Ovis aries: one gene and its partner. The protein of the gene in region 1 interacts with the protein of each later gene in a biochemical or structural test. Links are inferred from orthologs where the notes say so. Each region holds a gene or a part of one and is shown in the gene's direction. Other genes may lie near its edges.

What was found.
Region 2: the proteins of TRDN (region 1) and CASQ2 form a complex in vitro, tested with the Homo sapiens proteins (3 studies listed by BioGRID). The link is inferred for Ovis aries from reciprocal best matches to the Homo sapiens genes TRDN and CASQ2.

The regions. Positions count from the first base shown.
Region 1 is NC_056061.1:15,321,740-15,325,251, forward strand, and holds part of TRDN (triadin), read left to right. Parts: intron 1-1,012; coding exon 1,013-1,039; intron 1,040-1,798; coding exon 1,799-1,837; intron 1,838-2,210; coding exon 2,211-2,246; intron 2,247-2,329; coding exon 2,330-2,365; intron 2,366-2,448; coding exon 2,449-2,484; intron 2,485-2,567; coding exon 2,568-2,603; intron 2,604-3,356; coding exon 3,357-3,401; intron 3,402-3,512. UniProt on the Homo sapiens protein: Contributes to the regulation of lumenal Ca2+ release via the sarcoplasmic reticulum calcium release channels RYR1 and RYR2, a key step in triggering skeletal and heart muscle contraction.
Region 2 is NC_056054.1:93,106,248-93,110,425, reverse strand, and holds the start of CASQ2 (calsequestrin-2), read left to right. Parts: upstream 1-1,375; 5' UTR 1,376-1,517; coding exon 1,518-1,829; intron 1,830-4,178. UniProt on the Homo sapiens protein: Calsequestrin is a high-capacity, moderate affinity, calcium-binding protein and thus acts as an internal calcium store in muscle. Calcium ions are bound by clusters of acidic residues at the protein surface, especially at the interface between subunits.

The DNA.
Region 1 (3,512 bases):
ATTTCAATCAAGAGTGTAACTAAAAGTTGTGTCTAAAGATTTTCAATGCCAAGGACTAACCTGGTTCCTTAAAAGTGTTATGATAGATTTCTCGTGAATACATTTATGATTTTCTTCTGAATGGATTCAATGCCAGTGTTAAACATTAAATGTTGCCTTTGGGTTGGCAAAAATATCTAGTATATTTAGTCTGTGTAAGTGCTACTAATATGAACGTTATTATAAAAATTAAGGGCTGAAAGTCAAAACTAGATTACTGATAAGAAATATCACCATAATTATTTGCAAATGCGGTTTTGTTTATAAAACATTATTCATTATATATATTTGTTCTTATAAAATATTTGAATTTTCCTTAAACTTCAAAAAGTTATGTTAGGCTGATCATTTAATATATCAGTTTTATAGAAAATACTATCATTTGAACGAATTTGTATGGATATATTTTTTAAAGCATATTTTAAAAAAATAATTGGTCTTTGAATTTCCTGAAGGAGCATTATCATAGGTTAAAGACAAATAAATAACATTTTTATATTTTGTCTCACTACTCTGACTGTAGTCATTATGAGTTGAGATTATTTTTGTGATATTTTAAAATCTCATCTCTCAACCCTACTCATTGCACTGGTTGCTTTATAAAAAGTTAATGAATAAATGTGTGCAGGCGCATGTTCAAATCATGGTGAAAGTTTATGTAATGGAGATTTATAATTTGTAATTGAGAAAACTACCCAAATGTCTTCAAACTGATTCATTCTACCGTGTATGGATAGACTAGTTAATATTAATGTATATAGGGGTTCTATTTCCAGAATAGATACCAGTTGTGTTTTCAGAAATATTAGTTACCAACGTATCTCTTTGCCATTTTGAGTATGTGTCTATTGTCACTACTTTTGGAATTAATACGAAATAATATAAAGATGAAGTTCAGTTGTCTGCTACTGGAAAAAGAAAATTATTATTTCCTTTTATTTTTCTTCCTTTTTTCTATTTTTTTTTTCTAAAGAGGAAACACTAGAAGTAACAGAATCAGGTAAATATTTGCTTACCCAGAGGAGGCAACATAGATCTATAGGAATACTATTTAAATTTGAATCTCTATATAGCTGTGTAACATTTGGGAAAATCCATTAACAGCTCAGATTCCCAGTTTACTCATCTATAGAATAGACATAATGACTTTCCAAAAGGCTTGTAATAAGTATGAAATGAAATAACATATATAACACTCCCACTACATGCTTGGTTGTTACTCATTAAATATTGGTGTCCTTCTTACTCTTGTCTGATAAATATAGTTAAAGAAAAGCATCAGTCAGTCAAAACTCTGGTTTAAAAAGGATGTGTCTACATTTTTCTCAGAGATATATTGTGACTCTTACATTGTTTTTACTCAACAGTTAATTTATTGAGTATTCATAGCACTAATCAAATTTTCATTTCCGAAAGGTAACAACAGAAAATGTGAATTTTTTTTCTGTTGCTAATTTAAACTTATTAATAAATGCATGGCTTACTCTAGCTTTACTCTAAAGCATGTACAAAAAAAAAAAAAAAACCACAGGAAACAAAAGGAGGGGGTTGTGCTTTATAAAACCAAATAACCAAGGATAACAGAAATGTACATGTTCTTACACAAAGTAGGGAGACTTTATCTTCACATCTTTAAAAGTAGGACTTTGACCCTCTTTCACTTACGGGATTAAGTTTCATCTACAAATATTTACTCCAAAACTGAGTAAGAAAATTATGTTTTTAAGCCAATGGTTTATTGTTATTTTTCCCCCCCTAGCAAAAAAGAAAATTGAAAAACCTGAAAAGGAAAGTAAAGGTAAATACATTTTAAGGCATGTATATCAAATTAGTGATAAAAGCACAAGAATCAAAAATATATAATTATATAAATTACATCACTTAAAAAAGCAATTCATGAAAATATGGACATTGGTTTTAAAGCGTATATCAGAATCGAAGCTATTTAGAGTGTTATTCATGTGAGGAGTGTAGTATTGCATTATTACTAGATATCTAAAGGGAACAGGAACTGAGATCTTAAAGCAAACTCCATTATTGCTATATTAACACCATAGAGTTCTTTTCATATAACTCCTGAATTGTAAATATTGACTGCAAAATATGTAATTTCAAACTTAGAAAGACCTATGAATAAATATGTATATGACTCTACCATTTTATCTCTATAGAAAAAGCAGAAATGAGACATCTTAAAGAAGAAAAAGGTAATTTTTAAAAGTTCAAAAGTTCCTGAAGTCAGAATATTTTGAATAAATATGTATATGACTCTACCATTTTATCTCTATAGAAAAAGCAGAAATGAGACATCTTAAAGAAGAAAAAGGTAATTTTTAAAAGCTTAAAAGTTCCTGAAGTCAAAATATTTTGAATAAATATGTATATGACTCTGTCATTTTATCTCTATAGAAAAAGCAGAAATGAGACATCTTAAAGAAGAAAAAGGTAATTTTTAAAAGCTTAAAAGTTCCTGAAGTCAAAATATTTTGAATAAATATGTATATGACTCTGTCATTTTATTTCTATAGAAAAAACAGAAATGAGACATCTTAAAGAAGAAAAAGGTAATTTTTAAAAGTTTAAAAGTTCCTGGAGTCAAAATATTTTGAGTCAAAATTTATTTATTTCAATTTTAAAGAAAACTTTTCTTTACGTACACTATGATTGCTGGCCTGGTTAAAAGAAGAAAAGTGGTAAATAATGAGAGCATGTGATTATGACGGTGTCAAAGGAGCAATGGACGGCAGGCCACACCTACAGTGTGCAGTCATGTGTTGGGTCTTTGGTGAGAAACTGGTTAGAAGCTGCATTGCGATGTTGCTTTTTTATCTTAACTTTAGCTTTATTTATTTAGGAAACTACATAATATAATACAATAACCACTGATTTCCATGTTTAGTCATCTAAAAACCTTACAAAGGCCTTAATCATCAGAGAAATATTCTGTCGAGTCAGGAGGAAAGCATTCTTAGACATCCCGAAAAGATTGTTAATAACAAAAGAAGACACTTTTCTGGTTTATACCTAAATTCAATTAATCAACATTACCCATTGGCCGTGGACTCAGATTCATTTAAATACCCTGTAATCACTGAGTTCATGTCATATCTCTTTATGCAGATACAACAATCTCTTCAGCTAACATTTATTTTTCTTAGGCATTAGCAGAAGAGAAAACTTTTAAAACACCTTGAGAAAATATTTACAACATTTAAATTATTCTCATGTTGCTAAAGCTTAGAGTTGAAGTGAGCCAAATTGTTTTATGAAGATTTGCTCTAAAAGTTCATATTTTAATTTACATTTTTTTTATACAGTGCCAACAAGAAAAGAAAGTCTTCAATTACACAATGTGACAAAAGGTAATCTTGACCTTTGTAAATCCTCAAATGCTGTGTTGATGTGTGTGGAGATGCCTGAATGATGTTGGTGCTTAATATTAACACTAGATTTTCTAAAGCAAGAAAGTCTAG
Region 2 (4,178 bases), on another chromosome or scaffold:
AAAGATGGAGTCTTTTAAGAAAAGAGGTGTCTGTGGGGGAATTACCCCATCAGAGTGAAAGCACCCAGGAGTACTGGGCTCCAGGGTAGCACTGAACTCTCTGCCTACCCTCTACCAACAGGTAGTCGGTAACATGATCTCTGACTAGGTGCTGAGCTCCCTGAAGCTCAGTTAGCTCCTCTGTGCAATGACCTTTTAATCACATCTGCCCCAAATGCCTGATGGATTCAAGAAGAAGGCAGACAGAAAAGGGTTCACAAACAATTACTTTTAGAAACTGACAAGTAATTCTGATAATAACCTATGTTCCACCATCTCCAAGAAGAATGGAATAATATAACAGCTGCTGTGTTTGAGTAACTGCTTCGCACCATGTTTTTCCATCTCTGTGTTCCAAGCCTTACAATCTAGTTATAATTATCCCCACTTTACAAGGAGCAGGGGTGGAGGTGATGGATGGCGAATCAGAGAGAGGGTAAGTGACCCTCCAAAGTCCATTCAGCCATTGAAAAGCAGAGCCTGGATTTGAACTCCGACCTATCTGGCTTCTGGACTCTCTACAGCAGTCTGTCCCAATGGAGAGGAAAGGGGCAAAAATGATACATTGGGGGTTAATGTTAGAAAAGAAGATGACAGGGATGATAGTGAAAAGCCTAAGAAGGTTTCTGAGGAAGATAGTTGAACTTTTACTATATTTAATTTTATAATGGGGCAGGACCTCCTGGTGTCAGCAACGTTAAGCCATGAGCAGGGGCAGAAGGAGAACAACTGTGACCCTGGCGGGCTGGGGTCTCTGGAGCTCTTTCCACGGAGAAAGGGTGACCCTAGACCCCTTGCTCAGTGACAGGCAGAGCCATGGGGGACACGGCGCAGCGGCCAGCCAGGGGAAGGCAGGCGCAGAACGTCAAGTCCCCCTGGGGGTTGGGCTGGTCTCCAGGTCAGTGGTGAGTAGGTGTGTGTGTGGGGTGCGGATGAGCAGCCTGCCAGGAAGGGACAGGCTGACACCATTCCCTGGGATAATGGACGGATTCAATAGCATCTGAGGGACCCCTGCACGTGCGCACGTCACCATCCCATGTCTCCCTCCCCTCCTTTTGCCCTCCTCCCTCCAGGTGAATTTCTCTCCTCTGACCTTCCTGGCCTCCTTATTTCATGTGCGCATGTTCCGCCGTCTCCCTCCTGCCTCCTCCCTCTCCACCAGCCTGACAAACTGTATCAGCGAATCCCTCAACAGGGCCATATCTAACTTTTTTATTCATCTCATGATTTATTTTTAGCCTGAAACAACTGCATCCTAAAAATGGAGTTCCAGATGAGACACGGGCTGGGTAGAGCTATGCAAGCTATCTGGGGCTGGGTGGCCCAGCCTGGCTCCAGTTCCACGCACGCATGGGTGTGAGCCTCTGCTCGCTTTGTCTGAGCCCAGGGCTACAGTCAGCAGCCTGCAGAGGTGAAGACGGGGTTCTCGGGCCCAGGGAGGGCCAGGGAGAGAGACCAGATCAGCCTCTCTGCTCCCCATGACTCCCAGCAAGTCCTCTAAGACTCCATTCACTTTCCTACCATCAGCGTTTCTGGGAAAGAAAAATTTTGCCCAGATGAAGAGAGCCCACCTGTTTGTGGTGGGGGTCTACCTGCTGTCCTCCTGCAGGGCAGAGGAGGGACTGAACTTCCCCACCTATGATGGCAAGGACCGCGTGGTCAGTCTAACTGAGAAGAACTTCAAGCAGGTTTTGAAGAAATACGACTTGCTCTGCCTCTACTACCATGAGCCCCTGTCTTCAGACAAAGTCGTGCAGAAACAGTTCCAGCTGAAAGAAATCGTGCTGGAGGTGAGTGGGGGTGGGGGGGGGCCCGGGACCACGGCGACCAAGGAGGCGGGAACTGGCCCGTGATCGGGATGTGGGGACCCCAGGGTGCTGATAATATATCCTAAAGTCTGGCCCCATTTCAGTCTCATACAACACTGGAAATCTTGCAAAGCTGGGATGTGTGAAAAACAGAGGTGTGTTCAGACTCTTCAGACAGGACAAGTGCAGGACATGCTGCACACTGCACTGCTTGTCGTTGTTGTTTAGTTGCTAAGTCGTATCCGACTCCTTTGCGACCCCATGGACTGTAGCCTGCCAGCCTCCTCTGTCCATGGGATTCCCCAGGCAAGATTACTGGAGTGGGTTGCCATTCCCTTCTCCAGGGGATCCTCCTGATCCAGGGATCGAACCCACGTCTTCCGTATTGGCAGGAGGATTATTTACACTGAGCCACCAGCGAAGTCTGCCCACTGCATCATAGTCGGTAAAGTTGTAAAGTCTATCAGCTGACGGCCCTCTTGATTTCTCAAGGGCAATGGTTCCAGCCACTCTTTTCCTCAGAGAACATTAAAGCTATTGTTTAAAGGCCCGAATGACATGGGATTCAGGGTTATGTGCAGGCTTCATTCGGTGTACTAATTTCCTACTGTTTGTTCTTGTAAGCCTGCCCACGATCTTGGGGCAGCAGAAGTCATTTGACCTTGCTTCTGCTTGTGGGTCAGATGGGGAGCACCGCTAAGTAGTGCTCCTCTCTTGGGACTCGGTATCAGTCAACATCAGCCACTGGAGTTGTGGGAAGGTCTTGGCTGCGTGTTCAGTAGCGGGAGTATTTCTTTTTCTCAGAAAGTTCTTGGTGTGAGGTCAGGGAAGATGCTGAAGTCAGCTCCTATTCTGTCTGCATTACTGGCCTCTCTGTGAAGCTGGCGCGGGGGCTGGCTCTTTAATCCTGTGTGAGTGACCCAGGAACTCCTCCCGTAGCTCCTCCTGGACAGTGTCAGATCAGTTACACTCAGGAGCACCTGGGAGTGCCAAGAATTCTAGTAAGCACTGAGATCCCTCATCAGTCCCCAGGCTTGGCTCAGCCCACGCACCTATTTGCAAAAAGGACTACTGGAGACCAGCCTTACCAGAAAGCTCAGTTCAATCAGATACCTTTTTGTTCTTTCTTTTTCTTTCAGTTTTATTGAGACATAACGGACATACATTATAATCAAATATTTTGATGAACAGAATTATCATAGAAAACCCATGTGGATTTTAGTTCTAAAAAAAAAAAAAAAATTTTGAGTATAAGAAAATCTAGGCTTCCCAGGCAGCACAGTGGTAAAGAATCTGCCTGCCAATGCAGGAGACTCGGGTTTGATCCCTGGGTCAGGAAGATCCCCTGGAGAAGGAAATAGCAACCTACTCCAGTATTCTTGCCTGGGAAATCCCGTGGACAGAGGAACCTGGTGGGCTACAGTCCATGGGGTCACAAAGAGTAGGACATGACTGAGCACATAATAAAATCCAGGAAAACCATCCCAAACACATCAAAATATCTTTGATAATTTTAAAAGCATTGCAGAGTCCTGTGTCTCTCGATCATCATACCTGTATTTATTTTCAGAGGATTTATATATGGGAGCATGGTCATTACAGAGAGCTCTGGTAGATGAAAAACTAAGCATTTTAAAAATATCACCATGCCCATTATCTTTTTCCTCAGGCTCTACTCTGGGGCCTGAACATGGAAGTTCAGTTCCCTCTGTGAGTTATAAGCAAGGAAAAAGCAGAGACCGTTATTAGGTCTTTGTACTATATATACAGGAAAATCGCAGGCTGGAAAAAAACCAGGACATACAGCACAGCTGCTGCTCAGCCCAAGAAATCCGCACTCACATTACCATCTCCATCTCCAACTGCCCTACTCAATTATAGTGACAATTTTCTGAAAAGTGAGCTGAAGGCACAAGGACTCTACCATATATGCTCACCAGTGTCAACTTAGCCTAGAACTCAAAAAGAGGGCTGGTGCAAGCCATGACCCCAATTTCTGATTCCCTGTCACACACACACACATTCTCCCTCAAAGACAAATTCTGTGTTCCCAAGCAAAATCCTGAGAAGGGACTTTGCCCTGGACTCACCATCCTTCCAGCCACCTTTGATCCAGGAATGCCCATCAGAGACTGACAAGGTGTAAGCTCAGCATAGGAGGTGGTTTGATGCCCCACAGGCTCCTAAATCCTTAGGGAAAGAGATCACAGAACTTGGAGTCTGGAGATCTGGATTTATATCCTGGCTTCCCCTCTACTGGATACACGACATAGGGCAGGTTACTTACCTTCTCTGCACCCCATTTTCTCATCTATAAATCTGGAAAAATAA